Linked DNA regions of Ovis aries. The protein of the gene in region 1 purifies or fractionates together with the protein of each later gene. This does not show direct contact. Links are inferred from orthologs where the notes say so. Each region holds a gene or a part of one and is shown in the gene's direction. Other genes may lie near its edges.

Region 1 (7,953 bases):
TGTCTTTCAATTTGTTAAACATTAGACTCGGAAGCCAAAATAGGCCCTGGTGCTTCTGTCTCTTACCAGCGCCTCTTATTGCATCCAAGACTTGGAAGCATCAGAGGGAGTGGGGCCGCAGTGATGGAAGGGAGTAGGAGTTGCTCTCTGGTCTGTTAGTTGCTCAGTCATGTTCGACTTAAAACCCCGTGGACTATAGCCCTTCAGGCTCCTCTATCCATGGAATTCTCCGGGCAAGAATACTAGAATGGGTAGCCATTCCCTTCTCCAGGGGATCTTCCCAACCCAGAGAACAGGGCCTCCCATATTGCAGGCAGATTCTTTACCATCTGAGCCACCAGGGAAGTCTGCTTTGGTCCTTACCCTCCTCCAAACAAAAGAGACTCCTGCTTTTGGCCACCTTGAGGCTCTCCTGTGAGCCTGTGTCACAGTGTCTGGAATTTTCTGAGAGGATATAGGGCTGTGGGAAGCAACCCTCATCTCTTTTTCTTTCTTCTGACTCAGCTAGAGCAGGGGGTGCCAGGCTCTCTGAAATTCCCTAGGGAAGTCCCCAAAGAAAGGTCCCTATGATCAGAGTTGACTCAGGCTTTAACCATAGCCTGAGATCATATGAAAGTGAAGGAATGTCCAACAAATGTATGGAAAGAAGCTCCAGCTCGCTGGTGGTCAGGAGATGAAATTAATGCAACAAGATATTTATCACGTTATACTCACTTATACCCATAAGACTACAGAAACTTTAAACAGCAATAGTACCTATTGATGGCAAGCCTGTGAGGCAAAGCATACCCTCACACATTGCTGCTGCAAAGGAGTGCCTTTAGTCAACTTAGTAAATATAATGGAAAATACTTGGAGCCTTTGACATAGCTAAAAAGAAAAGTAGTGACATGTGAAGATAGATGCATAAAAATGTTTGTATCAGTGTTGTTGGTGGGGAAAAAAATTTAAACATCCAGGAACAGAAAAGATGAATGCCATCAAATAGGAGACGATCTGAATAAAGAATATATAACCACAGAGTGGACTGTTACGCAGCTTTGTAAAGAGAATCTGTTAGGGTGCTGCCAGATGACTCAAGGATTTTCATGGAGTAGAATTAAATGAGAAGAACAAGATAAAGACAAGTATGCATGATGCCATGCCATTTGGATAAAACCAGCAATGACAAACTATTTCTATGAAGGTGTTTTCACTCCCATGCTTCTGTATAAGATCATGTGAGTGTGGAGATATGAATGGAAGGCCCAGTGGGGTGTTGTGTGGGGAGAGTGACTGCAGAGACTCATATGGGGAGAGAGAGGGACTGGGTGAGCCAAGCAAAGCAAAAAAATAAAAAAGAAAAGAAAGAAAAAGAAAGAATACCAGAAGCATACACATACTTGTATACTTTTTTGAAAATATATGTATATGTGCTGATATTTATCAAAAAATGATGTAAAAAGGAGGCTGCAAAGCCACCTAGCCTATGGCTCACGGTGGAGAAGGAACCCCTGGTAACCATACTCTCTCTGCACCAGGTATGACCTCAAGCTGGCTGTTCCTGAAGGCAAGCAAGTTCTACTTTACCCAGAGAAAGAAGAGCCTAAACACATCCTCAACATCAAGAGAGGCATCATCTCTGCCCTCCTGCTTCCCCCAGAAACGGAAAAGGCTAAGCAAGTGTTATTTCTGGTGAGAATTTAAAAAGCTGATAACAGTGATCCTTTGAACTCCTCCTCACATAGTGGAGCTGGGTTCCACTTATACATCAACTGGATCGTTGACTCAGCTGCGTGGCTAGTTACACAGGAGGCCCTGTATTGGTGTGAAGCACGTTGCTCAGAGCTCCCCTGATCTCTGGGCTCACTGAGGGCCCAGCCCACACAGCCTGAGCAGGTTAGATCTAATTTTACAGCAGTTTCTGAGGAGTCCTGACCATCCTACCCTCTGTTTGATTTTGTTATGTTTCCACAAGGTAGAGCACAGTAAGGCCTCTCTTTGTGTGTGTGTGTGTATGTGTGTGTGTGTGTGTGTGTGTGTGTGTGTGTGTGTGTGTGTGTGTAATTTCTGGCCACACTCTGCAACATGTGGGATCTTAGTTCCCCGACCAGGGACTGTGCTCCTTGCATTGGAAAGCAGAGTCTTAACCACTGGACCACCAACGAAGTCCCCTGTGTGCATTTTAAACACAGAAAATAACTGACTATTTGCTAGCCTCTTTTAAGAATCCCAGGTTTTGCTCTGAGGACACGTTCAGTTTAGTTCAGTCCCGTGAACACTTTTGAGCCCTTACTACGTTCTGAGCTCTGTGCTGCACTCCCCGGGGAGCAGATACTGCTGCATTCTGCAGGGGCCCCTACACCGGGAGGTCTCAGGATCTGGGGGGAGAACCAAGACATATACAACACAAAACGGATTGGAGTACATGCCAAAGAGCCAGGACCACCCTTAAGAGGTTTTCTCACGCCCACCCTGGCTGCCCAGGAACCAACCGCACCCACGTTCTGTCCAAGAGGACGAAGCTTTCTCCCAGATCCATGGGAGATCTGGGAGAAAGCTTTTCTTTTCTTTTCTTTTCTTACAGACTTCTTTCTTACAGGCTTTTCTTACAGGCTTCTTTCCCAGCCCCACCCCAAGCACCTAAAGATGGTTCCCTGTGTTGAGTACACTTGTTGTATCTCCTGCTGCCCTAGGATACCGTGTATGGAAACTGCTCCACAGACTTTACTGTTAAAACGAAGAAGGGAAACGTGGCAACAGAAATATCCATTGAAAGAAATCTGAGGAAGTGTGATCACTTCCAGCCCATTAGCACGGGAGTTAGCCCACTCGCTTTGATTAGAGGCATGGTAAGTTCACATCAGCATTGCTATGCACACTGGCAGCAGCCTCTTCATTATTAACATTATGGAATGTTAGAGCTAGAAGGGATTCCAGAGAAAAAATTCCAGGCAGAGAAAACATAAGGAGCAGTAGGAACAGGTGTCAAGTGTTCGTGTGTGGCAGGACAGGGAGTCATGTCAGATGCATGCATGCATGCTAAGTCGCTTCAGTCGTGTCCGACTTTTTGCGACCCCATGGACTGTAGCCTGCCAGGCTCCTCTGTCCATGGGATTCTCCAGGCAAGAATACTGGCATGGGTTGCCATGCCCTTCTCCAGGGGATCTCCCCAATCCAGGGAACAATCAAACACATGTTTCATTGTGTTTCCTTCATTGGCAAGCAGGTTCTTTACTACTAGTGCCACCTAGGAAGCCCCATGTGCTGGATTCCAGGTTATAAATACTTTGTACAGATCAGAAGTCTCCTGGAGTGAAATAAGAAAAGTCTACAGCTGGACTCAGCTTTTGGGTTTTCATCCCCTTGACTAAAAGTCAAGTATGAAGCTCTCTTCTCTCGCTGAGTTTATCTAGTGGTACAGAACCCCTGTTCCCCCATTTTCTTCCCTGAAGGGAAATACACATGGGAGAAGACTCAGGTTCAAGCCCCAGGGCCTGATGAAAATGCTTTTCCCCTGATCCCATTCACAGACCCGCCCCTTGTCAACACTGATTGGCAGCAGCCAGTCCTGCCGGTACACCCTGGACCCAAGGAGGAAGCACGTGTCAGAAGCCATCTGCAATGAGCAACACCTATTCCTGCCCTTCTCCTACAAGTAGGTCCCTGGCTGTAGCCCCGATTCCTTATTTATGGGGCCATTAAGAGCTGAATGCTTCTCGGTGCCCTGTTGCAAGCTAGGCTGTGCCTGGGAGGAGGTATGAAAAGGTACAAAGCAGAATGTATTTCTATCCTCCTGTCTCAAGCTAATAGGCCGTTTGGTAGGAAAGACTTAGGCATGAGGAACAATTCAAAACCAACAAAAGATATCTGAGATCCAGGCTTTAAGGGCTCGAGATCAGGAAAAACTGGAACCATTACTAGCTGATCGGGTTAGAAAGGCTTTACAGAAGATTTTGGAATTGGCCTAGAGACTTACATATCCATTTTGAAAACTGGTCAGTCAACTAGTGTTGACTGAGTAACTGCTATCTATATTCTTGGCACTGAACTATGGAAGATCACAAAAGAATTTTGGAGCTTAGTGTTAGTTCATTCCCTCTGGGCACTCTGGAATGGTGGAGAGTATAAGGTATAGGGGTCCTTCTGATGGAAGGACAGCCAGCATGACCAGAAGGAGCTGTTGCTGTTCACAGGCGGTCAAGGACAGCTGGATATAAATAAGTATGGTTTGAAAGGGGAGCAGGATTTGGGGAGGAGCGGAGTTAGGGGAGACATTCAACATGAAGAGCAGAGGATGCTACGGGGAGCCTGGCCATCCGCGACATGCTGTCATTCCTGTGTTGCCAGGAACAAATACGGGATGATGGCACAGGTCACACAGACTTTGAAACTTGAAGACACACCTAAGATCAACAGCCGCTTCTTTGAGGAAGGTAAGGTGTGATGTACACATGGTTGCCAGGGTTGGGAAACCTGCCCATGAGGTACCTACCATGGCTTAGCTCCTTGCTGGGCCCTGTGAGAGTCCTGGGCTCTGGGCTTCTGGCCATGGGCCGTTCTACTGAGAAAGCCTGTTCATTTCAGAATGTCAGGTGGCAATGGGATAAAGGAAAGGGGAGAGTTCTCCTAGCACTCCCTGGAAATAGGATAATATTGGAAATAGGAAACTGGCCTCCCAAGTCCACCTTTGGTAAATTGGACAGCCAGGCCTGAGCGAGGCAGGGCAAATGGGAAAGGTCAGGAATCAGTCTTTAGAGCTGAAGGGAACTAGAGAAACCTCTAGTCCAACCTCAGCGCTGCACCTATCTTTATGTCAATGAGTCGTGTGCCCTACCTCATTCTCAGCCACCTGTGATGTCAGGTGGTAGCAGCATGTGCTTTAAGCTCTTGGGCACAGTAAGTGGCTCACCTCTGGGTCTTAGTTCCCTTATCTTTAAATTGAGGAATAATATTAACGCTGAACTTCCCAAGTGGTGCTCGTGGTAAAGAACCTGGCTGCCAGTGCAGGAGATGTAAGAGCCTCAGGTTCCATCCCTGGGTTGGGAAGATCCCCTGGAGAAGGCCATGGCACTCACTCCAGTATTCTTGCCTGGAGAATCCCATGGATAAGGGAGCCTGGCAGGCTACGGTCTATGGGGTTGCAAAGAGTCAGACAGGACTGAAGCAACAGCAGGTGTGCACAATATTCACGCTAATCACAAGGAGAGAGTGGCAAGTTAGGGAAACACTGAAGTCAGACCCCTAGCCCAGAGCCAGTCACAAAACAGGCACTAAGAACAGAACAAGAGAGGCTTCTTTTCTCCACCCTCCTCTTGCTGACCCCTCCTGGATCTCCAGCTTCTAGAAGAAAGATGAGGCTGAGATGCAGGGGTAAGCTGGAATCCCTCTGACACGCTCCTCCTTCCAGGTACTGAGGCAGTGGGTCTTGCCTTTGAGAGCACCAGGTCCACGTCACCTCCAAAGCACGCTGAGGCCATTGTGAAGACGCTCCAGGAGCTGCAGAAACTGCACGTCTCTGAGCAGAATGCCCAGAGAGCCAACCTCTTCCATAAACTAGTGACCGAGCTGCGAGGCCTCAGCAGTGAGGCAGTCACCTCCCTCTTGCCAAAGCTGATCGAGGTGTCCAGGTATTTCTTGAGCAGTCACAACTCAAACCTTCATAGATTATGAGCCCATGGGAGCTGGCTGAGACCTCAGCCAGAGAATCTCAGGAACCATTGAAATTTCAACCCATTTAATCAATTGAGTCAGTCAGTAAATGTTTGCTCGATAGAGAAATGTCAGCTAAGGTGTCTCGAGTTCCATGGGTAACACACACACGTACATTGCATTCAAGGTAGATAAATATTTACATGTTGAGATAGGAGGGAAATCTTTCCCACATTTTGATGGGTATCTTTAATCCCTTGTTCTATGAGTACCCTGGGAAGTGAGAGAGGATAAGAAGTCTGTGTTTTCTGGAAGCCTGTAGGCTAGAGGAGAGAGAACTCAAGCAAACAAAATAATACCGTGACTTCTCTTTACTTCAGTGCCGTCTTAGTGCTGTGAAGGTCAGAGAAGGGACTGGGCGAGTGTTTATGTGGCATGTTCCATCTTCTGACCAAAGGGTAACAGTCCTCTCTGGGTGTTGAGTCCAGGGGGTCCTTCTTCGGACTTTGCTCCATGGTGCTTCTCCAGTGGATGCTACTTATGGGGAAGGCTTCTCTATTCTCTAGGGATCTGAGTTAGATTTTGGAAGATGGTTGGATTTGGATCTTGAATAAGGGAATTCCTGACAGAGGGAACCCTGGGGGCCAAGGAGGTTTTAGCTGCCTAGAAGGTGATCTTTCTTTCTCTGCCCTTTTCTTCTCAGCCCCATCACTTTACAAGCCTTGATTCAGTGTGGACAGCCCCAGTGCTACACTCACATCCTCCAGTGGCTGAAAAATGAGAGAGCCAACCCCCTTCTGATAGATGCTGTGACCTACCTGGTGGCCTTGATCCCAGAGCCCTCGGCCGAGAGGCTGCGGGAGGTCTTTAACACCGCAAGAGTGCAGCAGAGCCGGCTCACGTTTTATGCTCTGAGTCACATGATCAACAAGTGAGTTTTCCACTGGTTCTCCTCGTAGGAGCAAAGGAAGACCCCGCATGTCAGTGTTGTTTGTACCCTCCCTCCACTTGCAAATTCTGATGCTTACCCTTTCGTTTGTCTAATGGTCAATTTTGAGAGTAATGACTTAAAATGAGAGATCAGCGAACATCAGTGTATATTTTAAGATAAGCCTGGCTATGCTTGCTGAATCCTAACTCTTCTTCTGTAGCTATCATAAGACAAACCCTACGTGGACACAGGACCTGCTGGAAATTGCTGATTACCTGTCAGAACAGATTGGCAATGACTGCACTGGGAACGAAGATCTCACCTACCTGATTCTGAGGGTATTTTCAGTTTTTTGTTTGTTGGTTTTGTATAATAGGCATCATTTCAGACACACTTTTTCTGTCTGCCCCTCACTGCACCTTCTGAGCCCTGATTCTCTCTTGTTTATTTTCAATGTAGGTCATAGGAAATATTGGTAAAACCATGGAGCAACTAACCCCAAAACTTACATCTTCAGTCCTGAAATGTATCAGAAGTGAACAGCCATCCCTGGTGATTCAGAAGGCTGCCATCCAGGCCCTGCGGAAAATGGAGCTTAGTGATGAGGTAAGGGCCACAGAAGAGGGCCGAAAATGACGAGTTGATTCAGACTGACAAAGATTTGGAATGAGATTCTAAATCTCACCATTCTACTGACTTTATTCTACGGCTCTTTAATTGCAAATTTCAATACACCTATTGACTGCCTGGGGCTTCCAGATGGCTCAGTGCTAAAGAATATTCCTGCCAATGTAGGAGACACAGGTTTGATCCCTGGGTGGGAAAGGTCCCCTGGAAACGGAAATGGCAACCCACTGCACCCTTTCTTTTCTGGAAAATCCCATTTTCAGAGGAGCCTAGCAAGGTACAGTCAATGGGGTTACAAGAGAGTCAGACATGACTTACCAACTAAACAACTGACTGCCTAGCCATATGCAGACATGAGAAAAATAGTTGGCCTTCCTGCTACTTCAGCAGGCGAAGTGTGATTTTTTTCACTACCTGCTGTCCTCTCACCAGACTGACCATCACTCCCATCTTTGGAAAACATGTCTGATTTTTTTCCCCCTGTTTCCCTAGACTAAGAGAGTCAAACTGGCCCCCAAAGGTGGTGATGGTGATTCCACAGCTTTGCAGACAACCTGACTTACTTATTAGCATCAAATTCTCCTGATTCCTTCTCACATTAACCCTCATATTGAAATAATTTATGTTAAAACATCTTTATCTTCAGTTAGTGGCAGATCTCCAACAAGTCATAACTTGGCCATGATTTGTATATTTTAATGCAATTGAATTCAGCATGCAGATTTTTTAAATTCTTTTTGATGTGGACCATTTCTAAAGTCTTT
Region 2 (7,953 bases), on another chromosome or scaffold:
ACCACAGATAGAATGGGGTTTACTGGGAATCCCAACCTCCAGGGCTGCTGCTTATCCCCTGGCCCAATGACCCAAAGGCCTTAACCTTCTTTCCTCAGCCCAAGATGGATGAACTCCAGTTGTTCCGAGGTGACACAGTGTTGCTGAAAGGAAAGAAGAGGCGGGAAGCTGTGTGCATTGTGCTTTCTGATGACACATGTTCTGATGAGAAGATTCGAATGAATAGAGTTGTTCGGAATAACCTTCGCGTACACCTGGGGGATGTTATCAGGTGTGTGTGGAGTTCTTGGCCCCTCGGGGATGGGAGGCCAGAGACTGCCTGCTTTACAGGCAGTACCCCCATAAAGGCCTTGGCAACTGCAGATATTGGGAGCTTATAGGCCATGGGAAGGCTTAGGTTTCTAGGTTGTCTTTAGGTTTTGGGTCTGCCTCTGGGACTTCAAAATCTGCCTCTTCATGATCCTTGGAACAGGTTGGCATTTCTTGACTTTCTTGGTACCTTTATTTTTTTCTGCCAGGGGTCACACCATAGAACTTGGTTTAGGATGCCATTTGAGGGCTGTATCTGCCAAATAAGCTTATAGCCTTGCATTGATGGCTTTTGTCAGGGCTAGAATGAGATGGGAGTATGGGCATGGAAGGTGGACTCCTAGCAGGTTTGTATAAAGATCCAAGCTAATCGAGGTGAGAGGCATAGTTTGAGCCAGGCCTAGGATAGTTCCAGTTTGAGTGATTAGACTTTAGGCAAGAGGTTTCTCCGTCTTGAAGTCATCCCTGGCCACTGCTACCCAGGCCACTGCTACCTGTCACCTGGCCAGGAACATCTCAGGCTTCAGATTCTTTTGGGGGGGATTCTAGGTTTTATGGAGCCTTCTTCCTGGAAGTGCTTAGTCACTTTCTCAAGGTGCTCTGACCACCTGACTGAGATGATTTTTTCACATGTATTTCTCTGACCCTGACACTTGTCAGACTAAGGTCCCCTTTTGTAGTGTTGGGTTACCAGTAGTAACCAGAATGGGTCATCCTTGGATATGTCTCATTGAAGACCTTCCCTTCTGTGTCTTCGTGGGGATTCCAGATGTGTGGGTCTTTCTTTTGCCTCACCAATTGTGAGTGGGCAGTCTCAGCAGCTTCTTCTAGAGGCTCCCCCTATCACTCTACCCTGCATATGACCTGTTCTGCTTGGCTGTTGCTTTGCCCTCACTCCAACACTACCCTCTTGCCTCTCTTCACCTAAAGCCATCCCTGCCTTTTCTCTTTCGCTCGCCATCAGCTCTCTGTGCCAGGCCCTTTTGGACACCCAGAGCTTGGGGCTGCGATGTGGTTGGTAATGTGGAGTCTGCTTGTCATCCTCAGCATCCAGCCATGCCCTGATGTGAAGTACGGCAAACGCATCCATGTACTACCCATCGATGACACGGTGGAAGGCATCACTGGCAATCTCTTTGAGGTTTACCTTAAGCCATACTTCCTGGAAGCTTATCGACCCATCCGGAAAGGTGAGAAATAATTCTAAGGACTGAACTCAAGGGCAATTGTTGTAGGGATACCCAAAAGTAAACCTTGGTCCATCTTTGTCTATTCTCATACATGTGTGCATACATACACATTCTGTACATGTGTACTTTCTCCTTCCCTGCTTCCTTGCACTTCCCTTTTTCCCATTCCCACTGTTTGCTCCAGTACAGTAAGCTATCTTCTCTTGTATCTCTGAAGGAAGAGGTGGGCAATTTGGGGTGTATCACAGTCCACAGTGTATTTAATACTTAACGCAGTTCTGCTGGTGGTGGTTGTGCAAGCTTGGGTTATCTATATCCCAGAAGTCAAAAATCTTATGGGTTTCTTCCTGGCACATCAGGTTTTATTCACTGTCTTTTAAGGGGCAGAGAGACTTTTCACAATTCAGCTTTCTCTTTTTGCCTGATGCTTAATAAGATGTGGATGGGAAGGAGAAAGGACAGTATCTAGTGAACTTGGCATTCTAGATCCCAGGTTCTGATGGGGAGTTCTTAGCTTGGTCTGGTGATAGATACCTCTGACTGCTCTTGTGCTGATTGCTCTCACAGGAGACATTTTCCTTGTCCGGGGTGGAATGCGTGCCGTAGAGTTCAAAGTAGTGGAGACAGATCCCAGTCCTTATTGCATTGTTGCGCCAGACACAGTGATCCACTGTGAAGGGGAGCCTATCAAACGAGAGGTGAGTTCTCTTCCTGATCCCAGTATCCCACTTTGTGAGTGCTCAGCAAGGCAGTAGTGTGGTAGTTCCAAAGAATCCTCAGGCTTGATGGTTAAGCTACTTCCCAGAGGTGGAAAGCATAGCTATTCATTTCTGGACATAGGTATTTTTTAGAAGTATCTGATATCAATAATTTTTAAAATCTAGATTGAGCTTAATGAGTCTAGTGGTTGAAATAATTTTTGAAGAAGTGATGCTGATATGACATCTAGATCCCTGCCCGTTTCCCACACTTTCTAGCTTCAGGTCTTAGGGGAGCCCACCGCAATAAGACTAACGACAATGTAATAAGGAAAGGCTATGCTAGAAATCTTTGTCATGGAATGAATAAACAAATATAAAGTAAAAGCAAAGATTGGAAATTCCCTGGCAGCTCAGTTGTTAGGACTCTGCGCTCTTACTGCTTAGGGTGTGGGTTTGATCCCTGTTGGGGAACTAAGATCCCGCAAGCTGCACAGCATGGCCATATAAATAAATAAATTCTTGCCCTGGGGTTTTTTGAATTGTTTTTTGAGGCATGATCCCCTTAGAGCAGAATCTTCTCATACAGCAGATTCTGTAAACCAGCTTTAGAGAAATTCACCTTTTGCTGATAGTAGCATTCTTATCTTCTCCTTTTCTTTTTGCTGATAGTAGCATTCTTATCTTCTTTTCTTTTTCTCTTCCATCTTCAGGATGAGGAAGAATCCTTGAATGAAGTGGGCTACGATGACATTGGTGGCTGCAGGAAACAGTTAGCTCAGATAAAGGAGATGGTGGAGTTGCCCCTGAGACATCCTGCCCTCTTTAAGGCCATTGGTGTGAAGGTGAGTATTCTGGGCTCTGTTAGCCTAGGGTGGTGATTAACAACTACTCACCATCTAATCCTAGGACCTGTTTTCATATCTGTTTCATCATTGCCTTGGATTCAAGAGGAAGTACTATATTCAGGTTTATAAAACACTCTAAATTCGTTATAGCTACTAATGGTCTAGAACAGAGTAGGTCAGTTAAGTTCTCTGTTGAATTTTTTTTCTTAATTACAACCTTCAAAATGTAAAGACTGTTTTTATCTAATGGACCCTATAAATATAAATAGTCTGTTTTAAATATTTATTATTTAAAGTCTCACCATAGTTTGCCAGCTTGTCTAGAATGTGTGTGTGTGAAGTCGCTCAGTCGTGTCCAACTCTTTGTGACCCCGTGGACTGTAGCCCGCCAGGCTCCTCTGTCCATGGGATTATCCAGGCAAGAATACTGGAGTGGGTTCCCATTTCCTTCTCCAGGGAATCTTCCCAACCCAGGGATCGAACCCAGGTCTCCTGCATTGCAGGCAGACGCTTTATCCTCTGAGCCACTAGGGAAGCCAAGTGTTGCCCGATAACAGTAAAGCAAATTTGCAGTGTGAAGGATCCTGAGTCCAGAATATTTGAGAACTGCTGGTCTAAAATGTAACATCCCAGTTGTTCCTGTATCATAGGACACCCTGAAGATGAAGTTTGCATCTATCCCTTTCCCTAGTGTACATTGTGTAAATAAATTTATCTTTTTGGGGGGTACTTTTCCATATCCTTCCAGTGGATGAAGCCAGAGAAAAGACAGCTTCAAAGAGGAAAACTTGTGGCTGTTGGTAGGAGAAGGCATTCCAACATGATAGTAAATCCTGGAGGGCTGTGATTATAGCAGTGAATGAGCCTCTGGCCAACACTCTTAAATGGCTGAGCTAGTCCTGTTTAAAGTCAGGCCCTTGGCCTAATGCCCTCTTACTTTTCCTAGATCCCGGATCTTCAGACTCACTCATACTAAGAGTTTCTTAGTGTGGTTTCTCTGCTGTCTGTCTCCTGTGTATTCATAAATATTGTCAGCTTTCTGCCATTATTATCTCTGCTGCAAAGAGGAGGGAGTATGGTCTGAAGTAAGGTGTCTTCCTGACAACTGCTTGACAACTGCTATTTGAGGGCTCATTCAGAGTTGAGCTCTAATTCTCATCCTGTTTAAATAGAGTCCTTCTTAGGCCATTTTAGGGTACCTGGGGTTGGGAGAAGATGAGAATCTGAACCTAATCAACCCTCTGTACTGGTCCTCAGCCTCCTCGAGGAATCCTGCTCTATGGACCTCCTGGGACAGGGAAGACCTTGATTGCTCGAGCTGTGGCAAATGAGACTGGCGCCTTCTTCTTTTTGATCAATGGTAGGAGACTTGGTTCACTTTGTGTTTGGCTGGACTCCACTTTGAGCTAAGCATGACCCAGTCTCATGAGCAGGAGAAATCATGGACATGCTCATTTGTGTACATAGCCTCATGTATACTTAAGTGTTTGTATTCTAAAGTCTATTGCAGACAGATAAGCAGCAAGGGGAGGGTGTGTTACTCTGGTGTCCCTTGATCTATCCCACCTTGAGAAAGAGCGTTAATAGGCTAAAGACATTAAAGAGGAGTAAGTTAGAATGAGAACTCAAAATGTCTATGCTTACTTATTTGAGAGGGTTTGGGGGAAGACTGGCTGAGATCAACTATCTCTTTGAGAATGATATTTCACTGGTAGGGGTCCAACCGGTGCTGCTTCTGCTCTGGCCAGAGGTCCCACAGCATCTGCTGTCACCATCTTCATACCTTTCAGCTCAACTGAGATAAGTGTATTGAGCCCCTTGACATCCTTTTATCCTGGCTTGGTGGCTACCCTGGGATAATTGTTGGTAGGGGCTGTGAGAAAGTAGGCAGATGTTACCACATTCTCACCCAGGACCTGTCTCTGAGCTAGACAGACAAGATATCCGAATACTTTTTGAGATTGAGGAAGGATATATTTTTGTCACTGCATGCATTCTATTTGCTTTCAGGTCCTGAGATCATGAGCAAGTTGGCCGGTGAGTCTGAGAGCAACCTTCGTAAAGCCTTTGAAGAGGCTGAGAAGAATGCTCCTGCTATCATTTTCATTGATGAGTTGGATGCCATTGCTCCCAAAAGAGAGAAAGTAGGAACTTAACCAAGGGGATAGTAGGGTTGTAAAAGGTCCTGACTTCACTTCTGACCAGACATTTTGTCCTGACAGACCCATGGGGAGGTAGAGCGACGTATTGTATCACAGTTGTTGACCCTCATGGATGGCCTAAAGCAAAGAGCACATGTCATTGTTATGGCAGCAACCAACAGACCCAACAGCATTGACCCAGCCCTACGGCGATTTGGTAAGGACCCCAAATAACTCTTCTTGCTGTCTTTGCTCATGTGGAGATTATGTCTCCAGTGGGCTTAATCCTGTTGATCCCATATCTGTCCTTCATCTAAGTCACCTAATCCTGAGGATTTCTTTCTTTTCTTTCTTTCTTTTTTTTTTTTTTGAGGATTTCATGAAGCCCTTTGCAGTTAGGCAAAGAGTAAAGTCCTTTCTTTCCCTTATTCCATGTCATGTCCAGGGTAACCACGCATCCTGGTTTGCCTGAGACTGAGGGATTTCCCAAGTTATGGGGCTTTCAGTGCTAACACCAGACATTTCCTGGTCACAGTGGAATGGTTGGATGCCTTAGGCCTGGGCCCTTCTTCCCTATGCACCAGAAATGATCCCTGTCTATGCGTCATCTCACAGGTCGCTTTGACAGAGAGGTGGATATTGGAATCCCTGACGCTACCGGACGCTTGGAAATTCTTCAGATCCACACCAAGAACATGAAGCTGGCAGATGATGTGGACCTTGAACAGGTGGCATGTTGATGAGGGCTGGCCAGAAGTTCGGATGTCTTGTTGCCAGACAGTTGAAGGGAACTGACTAGGGACAGAAGCTTCAGATGTGAGGCGATTGATTTTAATTCCTGGGCAGGGAAAGGGAAGTGATCTGAGATTGAATCCAGGAAACTAGGTTTGGCATTTTTCTTGGTTTACTGAATTAGGGTGAACCAGAATATTGGGGGCAGCTTTATTTCCAGGCCCCAAGTGCAGGCTTGAATACTTAAGAGTCCAGCTAATGAAAGGGCTGCTGGTATGAGTTTAGGGAAATGGAGGACCCAGAGATAGGAGTCAGAGGAAGAGGGCAGGGTTCTGTTATCTAAGCCAGAATAGAGACATCTAAGCTAGGTCTCAGAGGCAGGAGAGTAAGTGGATCTTCTCTCTGCAGGTAGCTAATGAGACTCATGGGCACGTGGGAGCTGACTTAGCAGCCCTGTGCTCTGAGGCTGCTCTGCAAGCCATCCGCAAGAAGATGGACCTCATTGACCTAGAAGATGAGACCATTGATGCTGAGGTCATGAACTCCCTGGCAGTTACTATGGACGACTTCCGAGTAAGGGCCGCTCTCCATTTCAGGTGCACACACATGCACTTTGATCTCTTGCCTGGCAATTCTCATCCCCAATTTTTCTTCCCTTTTTAGTGGGCCCTGAGCCAGAGCAACCCATCAGCACTGCGGGAAACTGTGGTAGAGGTGCCTCAGGTGACCTGGGAGGACATTGGGGGCTTGGAGGATGTCAAACGTGAGCTTCAGGAGCTGGTCCAGGTAGGGTGCTTGGTCCAGGGTGGGTCACTGCTTCAGCACATTGTCATTGAGCTGGTGGTATTGGGGTGTTGACACATTGATTGCAGAAATTATGAGCATGATTCAGGAACCTGCTGTTCTGAGGTTGGAAGCACCAAGAATCCTGTCACCTTACACCATGAGATGGTGTGGGAGGATGCTTCTGTTAGGTTGGGTTTCTCTCAAACTGGGGGAGATAGCCCTGAATCCTCTTTCTTTTTCTTCCTAGTATCCTGTGGAGCACCCAGACAAATTCCTCAAGTTTGGCATGACACCCTCCAAGGGAGTACTGTTCTATGGACCTCCTGGCTGTGGGAAAACCTTGCTGGCCAAAGCCATTGCTAATGAGTGCCAGGCCAACTTCATCTCCATCAAGGGTCCTGAGCTGCTCACCATGTGGTTTGGGGAGTCTGAGGCCAACGTGAGGGAAATCTTCGACAAGGTGAGCTACAAGTGGCTGGGCTATCAGTTCACTTGCTTGGGAACAAGTTAGGGGTAGAGGTTGTTCTTTGGGAGAGTTAAGACCATCCCATTCTGACAGCTCAGTTAGGGCAGTGAAGGTCACTTTATTTTCCATTTTTCCTCAGGTCTGAGAGACCCAGTTGTGCTAATGCTCAAGTCCATCTGTCTCTCACAGGCACGCCAAGCTGCCCCCTGTGTACTGTTCTTTGATGAGCTGGATTCGATTGCCAAGGCCCGTGGTGGCAACATTGGAGATGGTGGTGGGGCTGCTGACCGAGTCATCAACCAGATCCTGACAGAAATGGATGGCATGTCCACAAAGAAAAATGTATTTATCATTGGCGCTACCAACCGACCTGACATCATTGATCCTGCCATCCTGCGACCTGGCCGCCTTGATCAGCTCATCTATATCCCACTTCCCGACGAGAAGTCCCGTGTTGCCATTCTCAAGGCCAACCTGCGCAAGTCCCCAGTTGCCAAGGCAGGTGCAAGGTCTTGGGTTGCAGGGTCGTGAATTTGCAGGCTGTGTGGAATGCTCCTTGGTTCCTGGACAAGGTTCCATTGGGGATTTCTGGGGTTATGGTTGAAAAGGAAAGATGGAAGATTTGAGGGTATTAAGATATCTAGAATAAGGAATAAAACTGGTGGCAGAGGATGGAACAAAGTGGAATTGGGAGTGCTTTGGTGGCTCAAAGATCAGTGTATCAAAAGAGGCTAAAAGCTAAGGTAGCTCTCTTGCTTCTTTTAGGATGTGGATTTAGAGTTC

Evidence for each region. Proteins that work in one complex are often made in the same cells at the same time.
Region 2: the proteins of APOB (region 1) and VCP purify together in Homo sapiens (affinity purification with western blotting, with the first as the bait; 3 studies listed by BioGRID). This does not show direct contact. The link is inferred for Ovis aries from reciprocal best matches to the Homo sapiens genes APOB and VCP.

What each region holds. Positions count from the first base shown.
Region 1 is NC_056056.1:28,830,705-28,838,657, reverse strand, and holds part of APOB (apolipoprotein B-100), read left to right. Parts: intron 1-1,520; coding exon 1,521-1,674; intron 1,675-2,675; coding exon 2,676-2,831; intron 2,832-3,512; coding exon 3,513-3,637; intron 3,638-4,329; coding exon 4,330-4,415; intron 4,416-5,389; coding exon 5,390-5,609; intron 5,610-6,334; coding exon 6,335-6,562; intron 6,563-6,782; coding exon 6,783-6,900; intron 6,901-7,021; coding exon 7,022-7,168; intron 7,169-7,953. UniProt on the Homo sapiens protein: Apolipoprotein B is a major protein constituent of chylomicrons (apo B-48), LDL (apo B-100) and VLDL (apo B-100). Apo B-100 functions as a recognition signal for the cellular binding and internalization of LDL particles by the apoB/E receptor.
Region 2 is NC_056055.1:53,403,636-53,411,588, forward strand, and holds part of VCP (transitional endoplasmic reticulum ATPase), read left to right. Parts: intron 1-98; coding exon 99-271; intron 272-1,356; coding exon 1,357-1,499; intron 1,500-2,066; coding exon 2,067-2,197; intron 2,198-2,910; coding exon 2,911-3,042; intron 3,043-4,302; coding exon 4,303-4,405; intron 4,406-5,055; coding exon 5,056-5,189; intron 5,190-5,267; coding exon 5,268-5,403; intron 5,404-5,801; coding exon 5,802-5,914; intron 5,915-6,326; coding exon 6,327-6,491; intron 6,492-6,581; coding exon 6,582-6,704; intron 6,705-6,951; coding exon 6,952-7,164; intron 7,165-7,359; coding exon 7,360-7,668; intron 7,669-7,935; coding exon 7,936-7,953. UniProt on the Homo sapiens protein: Necessary for the fragmentation of Golgi stacks during mitosis and for their reassembly after mitosis. Involved in the formation of the transitional endoplasmic reticulum (tER).